Linked DNA regions of Danio rerio. The protein of the gene in region 1 purifies or fractionates together with the protein of each later gene. This does not show direct contact. Links are inferred from orthologs where the notes say so. Each region holds a gene or a part of one and is shown in the gene's direction. Other genes may lie near its edges.

Evidence for each region. Proteins that work in one complex are often made in the same cells at the same time.
Region 2: the proteins of anapc1 (region 1) and cdc26 purify together in Homo sapiens (co-immunoprecipitation; 6 studies listed by BioGRID and IntAct, with this or other methods). This does not show direct contact. The link is inferred for Danio rerio from reciprocal best matches to the Homo sapiens genes ANAPC1 and CDC26.

The regions. Positions count from the first base shown.
Region 1 is NC_133188.1:50,723,180-50,729,374, forward strand, and holds part of anapc1 (anaphase-promoting complex subunit 1), read left to right. Parts: intron 1-257; coding exon 258-400; intron 401-712; coding exon 713-936; intron 937-3,212; coding exon 3,213-3,419; intron 3,420-6,195. UniProt on the Homo sapiens protein: Component of the anaphase promoting complex/cyclosome (APC/C), a cell cycle-regulated E3 ubiquitin ligase that controls progression through mitosis and the G1 phase of the cell cycle.
Region 2 is NC_133180.1:62,619,251-62,625,619, reverse strand, and holds cdc26 (anaphase-promoting complex subunit CDC26), read left to right. Parts: upstream 1-2,329; 5' UTR 2,330-2,389; intron 2,390-2,878; 5' UTR 2,879-2,903; coding exon 2,904-2,984; intron 2,985-3,933; coding exon 3,934-4,119; 3' UTR 4,120-4,328; downstream 4,329-6,369. UniProt on the Homo sapiens protein: Component of the anaphase promoting complex/cyclosome (APC/C), a cell cycle-regulated E3 ubiquitin ligase that controls progression through mitosis and the G1 phase of the cell cycle.

The DNA.
Region 1 (6,195 bases):
AACTTGGACAAGCGACACGCCTTTTGTCAGGTAGTGTATATAAAGCCAGCTGCATTCTTAATGCAAAACCTTTTAAATTCAATAATTTACTAAAATCTTGGATAACCTGTGCAGAAAATATATGTATTGTTGTTCAAAGCTGAAAGAACAGATCCCTAAAATGCCTGTTTTATTCAATGTTTGACAATCTTAACTAATGTAAACGGGGCCGATGTGTCATTTGTCAATGCTCTTGTTGCTCTCACTCATTGGTGCAGGTCTGTTTGAAACCCGGCTCCAGTATGTTTCAGACAGCGCTCTGAGAGTGGTGTTCACCTGCCTCAAACCCTCCATTATCATGACCTACGACACACAGCAGTGCACACACACCGTCTGGAATCTGCGCAAAGTCACATCTGAGGTACGTTTAATGCAGTCTTCAGCCCAATTCACATTGCAATGACAGATGCCAACCAACAAATCATCGGAACTTCCAAAGTTTCCAGATATTGTGTTTAGTGTGCAATATAAGTTTTTGTGAAATGTTTTCAATGTTTAGAGTTGCAATGCATTGTGGGACTTCTCAGGACACTGAACGAATTTTCTGATTGAGACAGCAGTTAAAACGGCTGACTCCCTCATCAGTGCGCTGACTACTAAACAAGAGTGCTGATTGAGACACACTCCTAGACTTGTTTGGAGCCTAAAGCCCTGTGTGTGTGTTTTATTTCAGGAGCAGAACACTGTGTTAAAGTTTCCAGATCAGTCTGGACCGGCTCACACTCCTAATGCGGCTCCCAGTTTCCTCAGCACACACCTGAGAAACGTGAACCGGCTGGACTCTCCGGCTTCACCTTTACACTGCCATGCTCTTCACAACCAAAGCCGAATCCCAGCCTCCCCGGCCCTGCACTCTCGGGTTCACTCGCCCAGCATTTCCAACATGGCTGCTCTCAGGTATGACAATGCATCAATATTGGCTATGAATGGTGTTTTTTTACATATTGTGCACAGAAATCGCAATTCAAAAATTTTATTGAAAAAATATATAATCATAAATCAAAGAATATGAAAAATATAAAGCAGCACAATTGTTTTTTATTATATTATATTATATTATGTTATGTTATGTTATGTTATACTATATTATGTTATATTATGTTATATTATTTTATTTTACATCATCATATATTGTATAATATTGTATTATATTATTTCATATATTATATTATATTATATTATATTATATTATATTATATTATATTATATTATATTATATTATATTATATTATTTTATATATTTTTTATGTTAATTATATTATATTATTTTATGTTATATTATATTATAACATATTTAGTGCAAAACTAAAACAAAAAACTAATTAATCACACTTTTTTTTTTTTTTGCAATTAATCGCAATTAATCACATTTAAAAGACCGAAAGTTATAATTTTGGCTATAATTTTGAATTTTTTCAAATGTAAAATTAATGTAAACGCAAGACAAAAACTATTTAAATTCAAACTATAATTGTTCATTAGAATTTTTGTTTATTTTGTAACACCGATTTCTTCAACATACCCACAATAAACCATCAAGATTCTGGCTTGAGTGCCATATTTATTACAGAAATAAAAACTCAGGCATGTTAATGCCATTTGAATTGAAAAACAATGGCAATAACAAACAAAAATGATTTCCATGTTGGATTCAAAGTGAACTGCAGAAAATGTCAAAACACAGGCTTTGCAAATATAGAAAATTGTAATAATAATAAAGTATTGAATACAAACAGTTGCACTCATTGAAAAGTTGTATTGCTGTGTGTTGAGAACATTTATTATTAAGCAGAAACAATTTAGCTTAGTCCTCCTTTACATTCAGCCTGTTGCTGAGACAGTCCAGTCTGTTGACATTATCGGGGGACAATGTGGCCCTTTTGTTTTGAATGATGTGAGCCGAGAGTGAGAACAGGCAGGATTACTGAATCAGCATATGCATTCGGTACCTAATTTTGTGACCACTGGTGCTGCGAAAAGGACGTAAGAAGCATCAAGCGTTAGCCTACATCAAAGGGACAAACAGGTACGCGTTGTGCGCGCTTTGCTGTGACACACACACACACACACACACAAAACGTGCGCAGGACAGCGCAGCCGGAGCGACTCCCTTCAGATTCAACGCACATGATCGCGTTCATCAAATTTGCTTAAACTAAGCGTTCTAAAGTATGGCTGTATTTCATAAGGATTCTGACACATCAACGTGAAGCAGACGCTTTACAAAACTTGTGTTAAAGTGGGAAAAACTTAATGAAACATTGGAGGGCTCATGCTGAAAGGAAAAGGAATGCGCTGACTTTGACAGCTTGCAACATCATCTGGCCCTTTCTAAGTACCTTTACATGGACACCAATATTCCGATTTTAATATGACTAAGTTAGAACTCTTATTAGAAGTCTACCATGTAAACAGCAATTTTTGATAACCTTAAAGGGTGAAATGCGGAGGTTTTTATTTCCGTTCACCATGTGGTATCAAATTCCATTAAAACAAAAGTCGAAAGTTAAAAATGAAACATAGGATATTAGATGAAACTCTGGAGGAAACGCTGACTAGCCTGGTAAGTGCTTCCTTGGTCTTATTCATATTTCTTTGCATGTTGAACACACTTCGACCACAACAGGAAAAAAACTGCAACTGTGTTAATTACGTTAAATATTTCAAATTATTTGCATGCGTTAACGCACTTAATTTGACAGCACTAATTATATTGTATTATATTATATTATATTATATTATATTATATTATATTATATTATATTATATTATATTATATTAGATTATATTAGATTATATTAGATTACAGTATATTATGTTATATTATTTTACCTTATATTATAATGTATTATACTTTTTATTTTATTATGTTATTGTATTATGTTATGTTATATTATTTTGTTATATTATGTTATATTGTTATATTATGTTATGTTTTATTATATGGTTATTATGTTATATTGTTATATTATGTTATGTTTTATTATATTGTTATATTATGTTATATTGTTATATTATATTATATTTTATTATATTGTTATATTATGTTGTTAAATTATGTTATGTTTTATTATATTGTTATATTATGTTATGTCGTAAAAATATCTAAATTTAAATGTCTCATTTTTTTCCTTTTTCTTTTTAAACATTTTTATTTGCCTGACTTTCTAAAGTCGTGCTCATTCCCCTGGCATCGCCGTGCCCTCGTTCTCTGGGAATCAGCGTTTCAACATGTCATGCCACACGCCATCTTCGCGTGGCCACAGCATCCTGGCTTCACCCAACAGCACCCTGAATGACACCCTGCTGCCTGAGATGGAGCCCATCTTACCAGACCTCTGCATCGAGCAGCTGTGGACGGAAACCAGCGCCATCTCCAGGTCTGATGAGCTTCAGTGTGCTGTCAGAGAGTATTAAATTACCTTCTATGACTGTCCTGAATTCAATAACCATGTTTCCATCCACCTGTTTTTTTTTTTTTTTGCACATTTGACATATTGCATTAAAAAAAGATTAATGTTGGGGCAATAGCCTAGTGGTTCGCGCGATGATCTATGGTGCGGTAGCACTTCAGGCTGTCCAGAGTTCAAATCACGGCTCAAGGACATTTCCCGAACCTCAACCCCCTCCACAACAACCCCCCTCTCTCCCCCACTGCACTTCCAGTCTGATTACTGTCTTATCTAATAAAGGCAAAAAGGCCAATAATAAATCTTTTAAATAAAATGCTTAATGGAAACCATTAGATGTGCATACATTTTGAAAATGCGTATGAAAGAAAATGTATGCATGCACACTACTAAGTAGGATCAACTTTTTATTCGATAACCAAATACGAGCAAAAGCTTTGATGGAAACACATTTATGATCTTAAAAATGGGTGTGATGTATTAAGGTGTGAGGCATTAATGGTCAAACCAGTGGAGCGAGCACATTGTAGAACATCTGAAACATTGTTTTGGTCATTCTGAAATCCCTCAGCCAAAGTCTGTCATCACTGTGGTTCAGAATTATCATTGTCTTAGGCAAGGCAATTTTATTTTTATAGCCCATTTCATACACAGTGGCAGTTCAAAGTGCTTTACATAAACAGGAATAAAAAATAATAAAACCAACAAAACAAATAATATAAACAGATAAAAACAGTGTTAAGACAGTTTTTTCATACAAAACACTGGTGTATCATATTTTCCCATTTTATTTTCATTATACCTCTACATATTCCTCCAGAACTAATAATCGTAGGAACTAATTACTGATTTTGATTGTAATGCATTAATGTGCACCGTTTAAAAGCGGCTTTGGAACAGTAATTATTTTGATAAGCACTATACAAATAAATAGAATTAAATTGAAAGAACTAGAATATGGCTGGGGGAGAGGCAGTGGCGCAGTAGGTAGTGCTGTCGCCTCACAGCAAGAAGGTTGCTGGGTCACTGGTTCGAACCTTGGCTCAGTTGGTGTTTCTGTGTGGAGTTTGCATGTTCTCCCTGCCTTCGCGTGGGTTTCCTCCGGGTGCTCCGGTTTCCCCCACAGTCCAAAGACATGCAGTACAGGTGAATTGGGTAGGCTAAATTGTCCGTAGTGTATGAGTGTGTGTGTGAATGTGTGTGTGGATGTTTCCCAGAGATGGGTTGCGGCTGGAAGGGCATCCGCTGCGTAAAAACTTGCTGGATAAGTTGGCGGTTCATTCCACTGTGCCGACCCCAGATTAATAAAGGGACTAAGCCGACAAGAAAATGAATGAATGAATGAATGAATGAATAGGGCTGCACAATACTGGGGAAAAACTGATATTTAGTTTTTCTGTGATATGCATTGCTATCTAGGAACCACAGTCTAAAATAGATCCGATCAGATTTGTGGAGTCACTGCAGAGTTTAACCACAATGGAGTAACTGACTGCTGTGTGATCATTTTAGGACATTTTAAAGCAATTATCTTTCAGATGAGACGTTAAAAGGGGGTCCTGACTCTCTGTGGTCATTAAAAATCCCATGGCACTTCTCGTAAAGAGTAGGGGTGTAACCCCGGTGTCCTGGCCAAATTGTCTCAATTGGCTCTATCACTGTCTCTCCACTCCACCAATAGCTGGTGTGTGGTAAGCGCACTAGTGCCGTAGCTTTCGGCTGCCGTTGCATCATCCAATGGATTATAATTACAAATTACATTTTATTCCACCACAAGAAATCGTATGTAAAATGTATTTAATTGAATTATTTATACAGGGATGACTAAACCGTGTAATTTTATCACCATAAAGCACTGATTATTTCACTTTTGTCTTTATTCCTTCCTTAGAGAATCATCCCAATCAATCTAATTGAACAACTTTCTTACGAAAAGAGCTATTCAAGCCATCTGCTGAACTTGAATTCATATCACTATAATCCCAACTCAACATTGCCGATGTGCAGATTGAGATATTACTGCTGAAACGATATATTATGCAGACCTAGTCTTGTGCGTCTGCACTCCCAAAGAGCGTCTCACGCCTCCAAAAGCCACTGTGCGTTCATTGCATTTCATCTTCTGAGGTACAAATACTTCATTTTATAAGGGAAAAAGGCTTCTCCTACTGCAGCCAAATCCATTTTTTGTTTTTATATTTGGGACCAGTTTATCAGGAAATGATGATTCTGTTCTCTTTGACTCACTCAAAGAAAGCATTGCTTTATTCGCTAATGTTTTATGCAATGTTTCAGTTTTGAGCTTCAGTTTGATTTGCATCTTTGGATGGAAACACAGCAAGTATTTTGTGTGTGTGTGTGCGTGTGTGTGTGCGTGTGTGTGTGCGTGTGTGTGTGCGTGTGTGTGTGCGTGTGTGTGTGCGTGTGTGTGTGCGTGTGTGTGTGCGTGCGTGTGTGTGTGCGTGTGTGTGTGCGTGTGTGTGTGCGTGTGTGTGTGTGCGTGTGTGTGTGTGCGTGTGTGCGTGTGTGTGTGTGCGTGTGTGTGTGTGTGTGTGTGTGTGTGTGTGCGTGCGCGCGCGCTTGTGTGTGTGCGCGCTTGTGTGTGTGCTTGTGTGTGCGTGTGTTTGCTTGTGTGTGTGTGTGTGTATGTGTGTGTGTGTGCTTGTGTTTGTGTGTGTGTGTGTGTGCTTGTGTTTGTGTGTGTGTTTGTGTGTGTGTGCTTGTGTTTGTGTGTGTGTGTGCTTGT
Region 2 (6,369 bases), on another chromosome or scaffold:
GTAATAATAAATGTGAATAAATAGCCTAAATGAAAGGAACTAGAGAGACCAAAATCAGCCACCAGGTTTAGTGCCCCCCTATGGATTTAAAATGCCCCCTCAGTTCTGATTCCTGGCGCCGGGCCTGGATGTGAGTCTAGTTACCAGCGTGAAAAACAGGTAGTAATAGAAACTTTTTTTATCACGTGTTTGAGGCCATATTTGACTACAAAAGTGCAGTCAGTAGGCTACTTTAACTTTTACCAGAGTTGTTTTAAGCATCAGTATCACTTTTTTTTGAGTAGGATGTGTGTATTTTTGCCATCTCTGTCCATTTCATAAAAATAAATAATATTACAATAAAAAGTATGGTTAAATAACTGAAATGTGTTCTTAAACAAAAACGTGTGTAGCATGCAGTCAAAATAGCATTTATTATTTGAATGTCACGTTAATTTTCTTAAAATAACACATAAGGATGTGCATTATATCAACTAAAACAGAGTTTTTCTTTGTTATAGCAGGTGCAGCCAAACTGCGACACAACAGCCACGGAATTTACAGGGCCGTGAGAGATCACCTGTACGGTCTGGCGGTGGCAGACGCAGAGCGGAAAAACTATCTGATGCTTTTGTTGTTGTTAATGTTAAATTGACTAATACATGTTTTGTCATTACTTTTGTCTGCAAATATTAGGCTAATAAATAATATTTTTTAAACAAAATGTTGAATTTCTGAATCATGTGAATTTTCTAAAACGTTTATAAAGGTATTTCTCACAACCAAATTTCGACTTAAAATTGACGTATTTTTCGTTGTTTGGACGTCTTACAATTACGTCTTTTGGACGACATGAAAAAGACGTCTTTTCACGTTTCACTTTTCCACCTGTTTTCCACGTTGTTTGGACGCCTTACAATTACGTCTTTTCGACGACGTTAAAAAGACGTAGTTTCGTCTTTCACTTTCCCACCTGTTTTCCACGTTGTTTGGACGTCTGACAATGTCGTCTTTTCGACGTCTATTCGACGAACTATTGCTGGGTGGGGAGCTCATCTGTTTGTCGGAACTACTAGACACAATTTTTTTTATCAACTATAATGTGTTTAATTAGTTAATTTAAAATTCATTTCATTATTCCAGCAATAATTGTTGAGTGAAAGAATGCGCTAGAAATTTGCATTGCGGCTCCCTTTATTGTACAGGCTTATTGCACTTAAACTTTTTTAGGTTCGGCTCTCGAATTAGTAAGGTTATGAGTAAATGTTATTTAAAATATTTAAAGCCTGCCATCTAGCCTACAATAACAGCAAATTTAATAATAGAAAAAAATAATAAGACAGGCCTACTTTGGCGTTGCAATAAAATAGTATTAATTATCAAAAAAATAATTACAATATATAATTAAAATAGGAAGAAGTAAATGAAAACAAATGGTACCCTTTGTTTTTATAGCAGGGCCCAAAGTGTTCTTATTCTGGTTCTGCTAACAACTATTAAAAAGAAAAAAAACACACCAAACAATAAAAACACTAGTAACTGATATTAATAATAATAATAATTATTATTATTATAAAGCCCTATTATATTATTATAAAGATTGTTATGAAACAATCATGTAAACCAGGTGCTCCTCGGAAATGGCTATCTTTGCTCTGCATCAGGTGCACAGCAGCAAGAAGCTTGGCAGTGAACTATGACCTTATTTTAATGACAAATGTCTAAGAATACTGCTTTACGTTTTTATTTAATTTATACATACGCAATGAATGTAAGCCTGCTAACTGTGTGTGGTTCAAATGATAGAATATGTAAACTTAGTTAATATATAATTAAATAATAATAATTAAAAGCCTGCGTGTAAGGCTTTTATTTTGAGGGTGACGTCACGAGCGCAGATTTGGTTGACCAATTAGAGGAAAGTGGGCGTTTCAGCACCGCCTACATGTGTAAAATGAATTTTAAAGTCGTTTATCCGTTTTCCTACCCTAAACCAAAAAACGAAAATCCAGCCAAAATCTCGTTTTTTCGTTTTCTCGTGAGCAAAAGGAAAAACGGCCGTTTTCTCCATTTCCTTTATTCCGTTTGAAAATGGAAAACAAATGAACAAAACGTACACGGACCGTTCTAAAACAACAAGTTTTGTACATTTAGTTTTAAAGGTTTAACTAAATAAATCGATCAAAAACTTGAAGAAAAAAACTAAGGTTAATGAACATTTCAACCGTCTATGCCCTTAAATAGACAGTGAAAGAATAATTCAACTAATGCGATTATCAATTTAAAACTTGAAAAAATATAAAAACAGAAAAAACACACACGTTTATCCCTTTTTTCTCCCTTCACGCTTAAACTACATTTCCCATGATTCCTTCTGCTCTTTCTACGGTCTAAAGCGTGAATGATTACGGTAAGTGATGTGAGCTGAAATAGTCATCTTCTTTCAGTTTAGAATTGTTTGTCAATAGTTTGCCAAGCTTACTAAAATAAACGATCTTCACGGTTCATTATCCTGACGTTTGTCACTGTTTAAGACCCAGAATTTAGAGCTACTAGGCTAATTAGCATGTAGCTGCTAAACAATAACGTTATGGTGTTGAAGCAGGCGTCGCTGAATTTCTTGAAATTACGAAATACACAACACGACGGTAAACGTTCAAGTAAAGTGTACTGTGTATGCAGATATAATACTGCAATCATGGGCTTTTGCAACGTTAGGTTCCTTAAAACATAGCATTTGAGCTTTCTCAGAGTCAAAATATATATGAAGAGTTGAATAGAACTACCACAACTCAACTAGGTTAACCCATCGATTTCTAATGAACATACATTATATATGTAACGTTAACGTTAATAAGTGTGTAAATTAACTTAAGCAGCGCGTGTAACGTGTTTCCAGGCAACGAGAAGCCGGTGATGTGAAGATGCTGAGGAGGAAACCAACGCGCCTCGAGCTCAAGCTGGACGACACGGAGGAGTTTGAAAGTGTCAAGAAAGAGCTGGAGGTAAAATTTTGGACTTGTCATCGTGTCTTAAACATGTGTCATAAATAGTTGCTTCAATTTACTGTACACACATAAAGACATGTTCCTTCATCCCAGTGGGGACTCTCATAGACCCCTTAATGATGGTTCTACTGTACAAACAGTAGATTCTATCCCCCTACCCCTAAACACAACCCAATTTATCTGTACTGCATGTCTTTGGACTGTGGGGGAAACCGGAGCACCCGGAGGGAACCCACGCGAATGCAGGGAGAACATGCAAACTCCACACAGAAACGCCAACTGAACCATGGTTCGAACCAGCGACCTTCTTGCTGTGAGGCGACAGCACTAGGTCTGGTGCGACTGCTTCGTCCGAGGACAGGATTTTCCCGAATGTAATTCTATAAATTTGATGGGAGTAAACCCAATATAGAAATGTAAACAGAGATACGCTAGTGCTTGAGCCTACAAATGGACAAAGCAGTAAAATTAGTTATAAATCTTAGTGCAGCATGGTAAACAGTGTCCAGTGCATGCAGACTAGAAGACGAAGCATACATATAGATAACATCAGCGTAGTCCAATATCAACATAAATGTTGCATCAACCAGCTTTTTTGTAGCATCAAAAGTAAAGTTGTATTGGAGTTGTTCTACAGCTGATTTTGATAGACTACAGTTATGTGTTAGTAACCACAGCGAAAATATATTTCTGCTAAAAACATTATCAATTATGATTAAGTTATGATAATGATATTATTAGGTTATGAAAATGATACTTTAGTCCCTGCTCTCCCCTACTTAATTAAAATAAAGCAAAAATTCTTAGTCCACCACTGCAAATCAGTCAGTAATAGTGTGATTTCTTCATCATTCTTTTTCTCATTTAAAAGCAAGCATGTAAGCAAATCTTACAGAAAGTAAGAAGCTTTCTATAATCTCATGTTACTTTCCCCACATGTGTTAAGAGTCGGAAGAAACAGAGGGATGAGGTGGATGTCGTCGGTGTCGCCACATCCAGTGAGATGAGCGGAGCGGCAGGTGGCACTGCTGATGGGAAAACCAGAGAGCAGATGATTCACGAGAGAATTGGATACAAACCCCACCCCAAGCCTAACACGTTACCATCGCTCTTCGGAAACCTTCAGTTTTGACAAGTGCCAATCCTGAACAATGGACTATAAGGTCTTGAGAATCTGTAACACAGACACGTACGTGCACACAGAATATATTCTGCATCAATCTTGCCAGATTAGAAATGGACATAAAATTATGGCTTTGGTTAACGGTGTTTGTGATAACTGATTTCAAATGACTATTTTTCTATTGAAATAAATAAAGCCTTTCTAGTTGGATGTGGAAATGGTGTGTAAATGTGATATTGGCAGAATTATATTTTTGATAATACCGATTAGGGCGCAACGATTATAAATTTTGGTTGTACGATTATAGTATTAGAAATAATCACGTTTATCATGATTATTTGCATTCATTGATCCCAAAACCCCATTAGTTTATAAATAGTTTAAAACGGTTTTAAATTTTGTTTTATATATTGTGCCCAACTAAATATTTGTTGCTGGTTTAATCGTTTAATTTTATTTAAGTGCATATAAAAAATTCAGTGGATATTATTGATGCATTATTTGGTAAAACTGCTCATTCAATGTGTTTTTGGTCATTATCAATGCACCGGTAAAATAGACCCAGCGGCGAAACCACGACTGCTTGCATGATGCTCATGCCTCGTGTTGACGCACTGCTTCTGCATGCAGTATGAAAGCTCTAATCTGTTAACATGGATGCGAAAAAAAACACTCTCTGGTCATGCCTGCGGTGTGAAACAGGCTTGAGTCTTTCACCACTGTCTTTAAAAACATTCAGTTGATCCCAGCTGGGGATTCGCCACATGATTGCTCTCCACAACGCCATTATTTGTAACTTTAAGTGGGTTTGCCAATCTGTGTCCTTTCCAGTGCTTCTTCCTTAAACCGTTAGCCGTTTGCAATTCCCACGGTCACAAAAGCCCCCTGTCATCTCAACTAGGTGCACCTGAAAAGCACGAGTGTGTTGTGTTGCGTGCGCGTCCCTCCATTGAAAAAAACTAACTTGGACGAGCTTGCCTTAGTTAATAGCCCCAGTCATAGTGAGTAGAGTGCACTGCTTATTAGCCTTAATGTACAAACAAGTGCACAGTTGCCATAACAAGTTGCTGCAGTCTTGTTCCGTGCAGAAATGCAGTGTTGAGAAGCCCATACGTGACTAATTAAATCCCGGTTAATAGTGAAACCAGCTAATCGTTGCATCCCTAATACAGATTATACTACTAATATATATATATATATATATATATATATATATATATATATATATTAGGGATGCAACAATACAGTTAGCCCACGGTTCAATACATACCTCGGTTTTTTAACACTGTTTTCGGTTCGGTTTGGTTCTCATGGCTTAACACGTTTTTTTATTCTACAGGCAATAGGAACAGTAAGAGGTAAAGGAGAAAAAAATAAAAAAGATTTTTTGCAAAACTCATTTTGTTTTACTTAAAAGCCAAAAAAAGTACAGTAGTTCCTGGTGTATTGAATAAAAAAATGAACACTGAAATCTGACAGCTGCTGGTAGCCCATGTACAAACTGGGGAACACATAAAATCCTACACTTTGAAAATAAACATACATGGGAAGTAATAAAGATAAATTGGCCATTTCAAATAAACATATTTGTACTTAAGTAAACATAAATAAACCATCTTAATTATCTCGATGCTGAAAAATGCGAGACTGTAATCTGTAACATGGATCGAGTGCTTTTATATGATGACAAAAGCCCACATCTCCCATCACCATAAACGACTACAAATCTTTAGCAATAAACACCCGCACTGCCTTTGTTATTTATATGCGTCTCTCGGAACCAGTTGGGTATGTTGGCTTGAAAGATTCAGCGAGGGACTGTTGCTATTTGGAGGACTTTATTACCTTCTCTGCTATCCTGCCTTCATACAGTGATATTGCTGGGTGATGGTGCAGCAGATGTGCAGTCATGGTTATACGTGTAAAACAATGCTTTCACAGTTATTTTTTGTCACCGTTTTTTCTTTTATTGGCATTATACTTATCGGGAAAACCGAAATGTCCTCACACCGCAGATTTGTAAGACGCCTGCGCTTCCTCGTACTGTTGCTTCTCTTCGCCGGCGCTTCCTTGTACTGTTGCCTCAGCCTCACTTTACCGCTGCTCGCCATGTTAAAGTGTGGAATGATGGTCAAGAACCCCTAACTTTAAGACATAGTGATTGTATATATACTCGCGAGGAGGAGTTTCCTCATCTCAGCTCATGGACTTACAGGCACACACAGTCAATTCGGGGAGATATAAAACGCACACAAATTA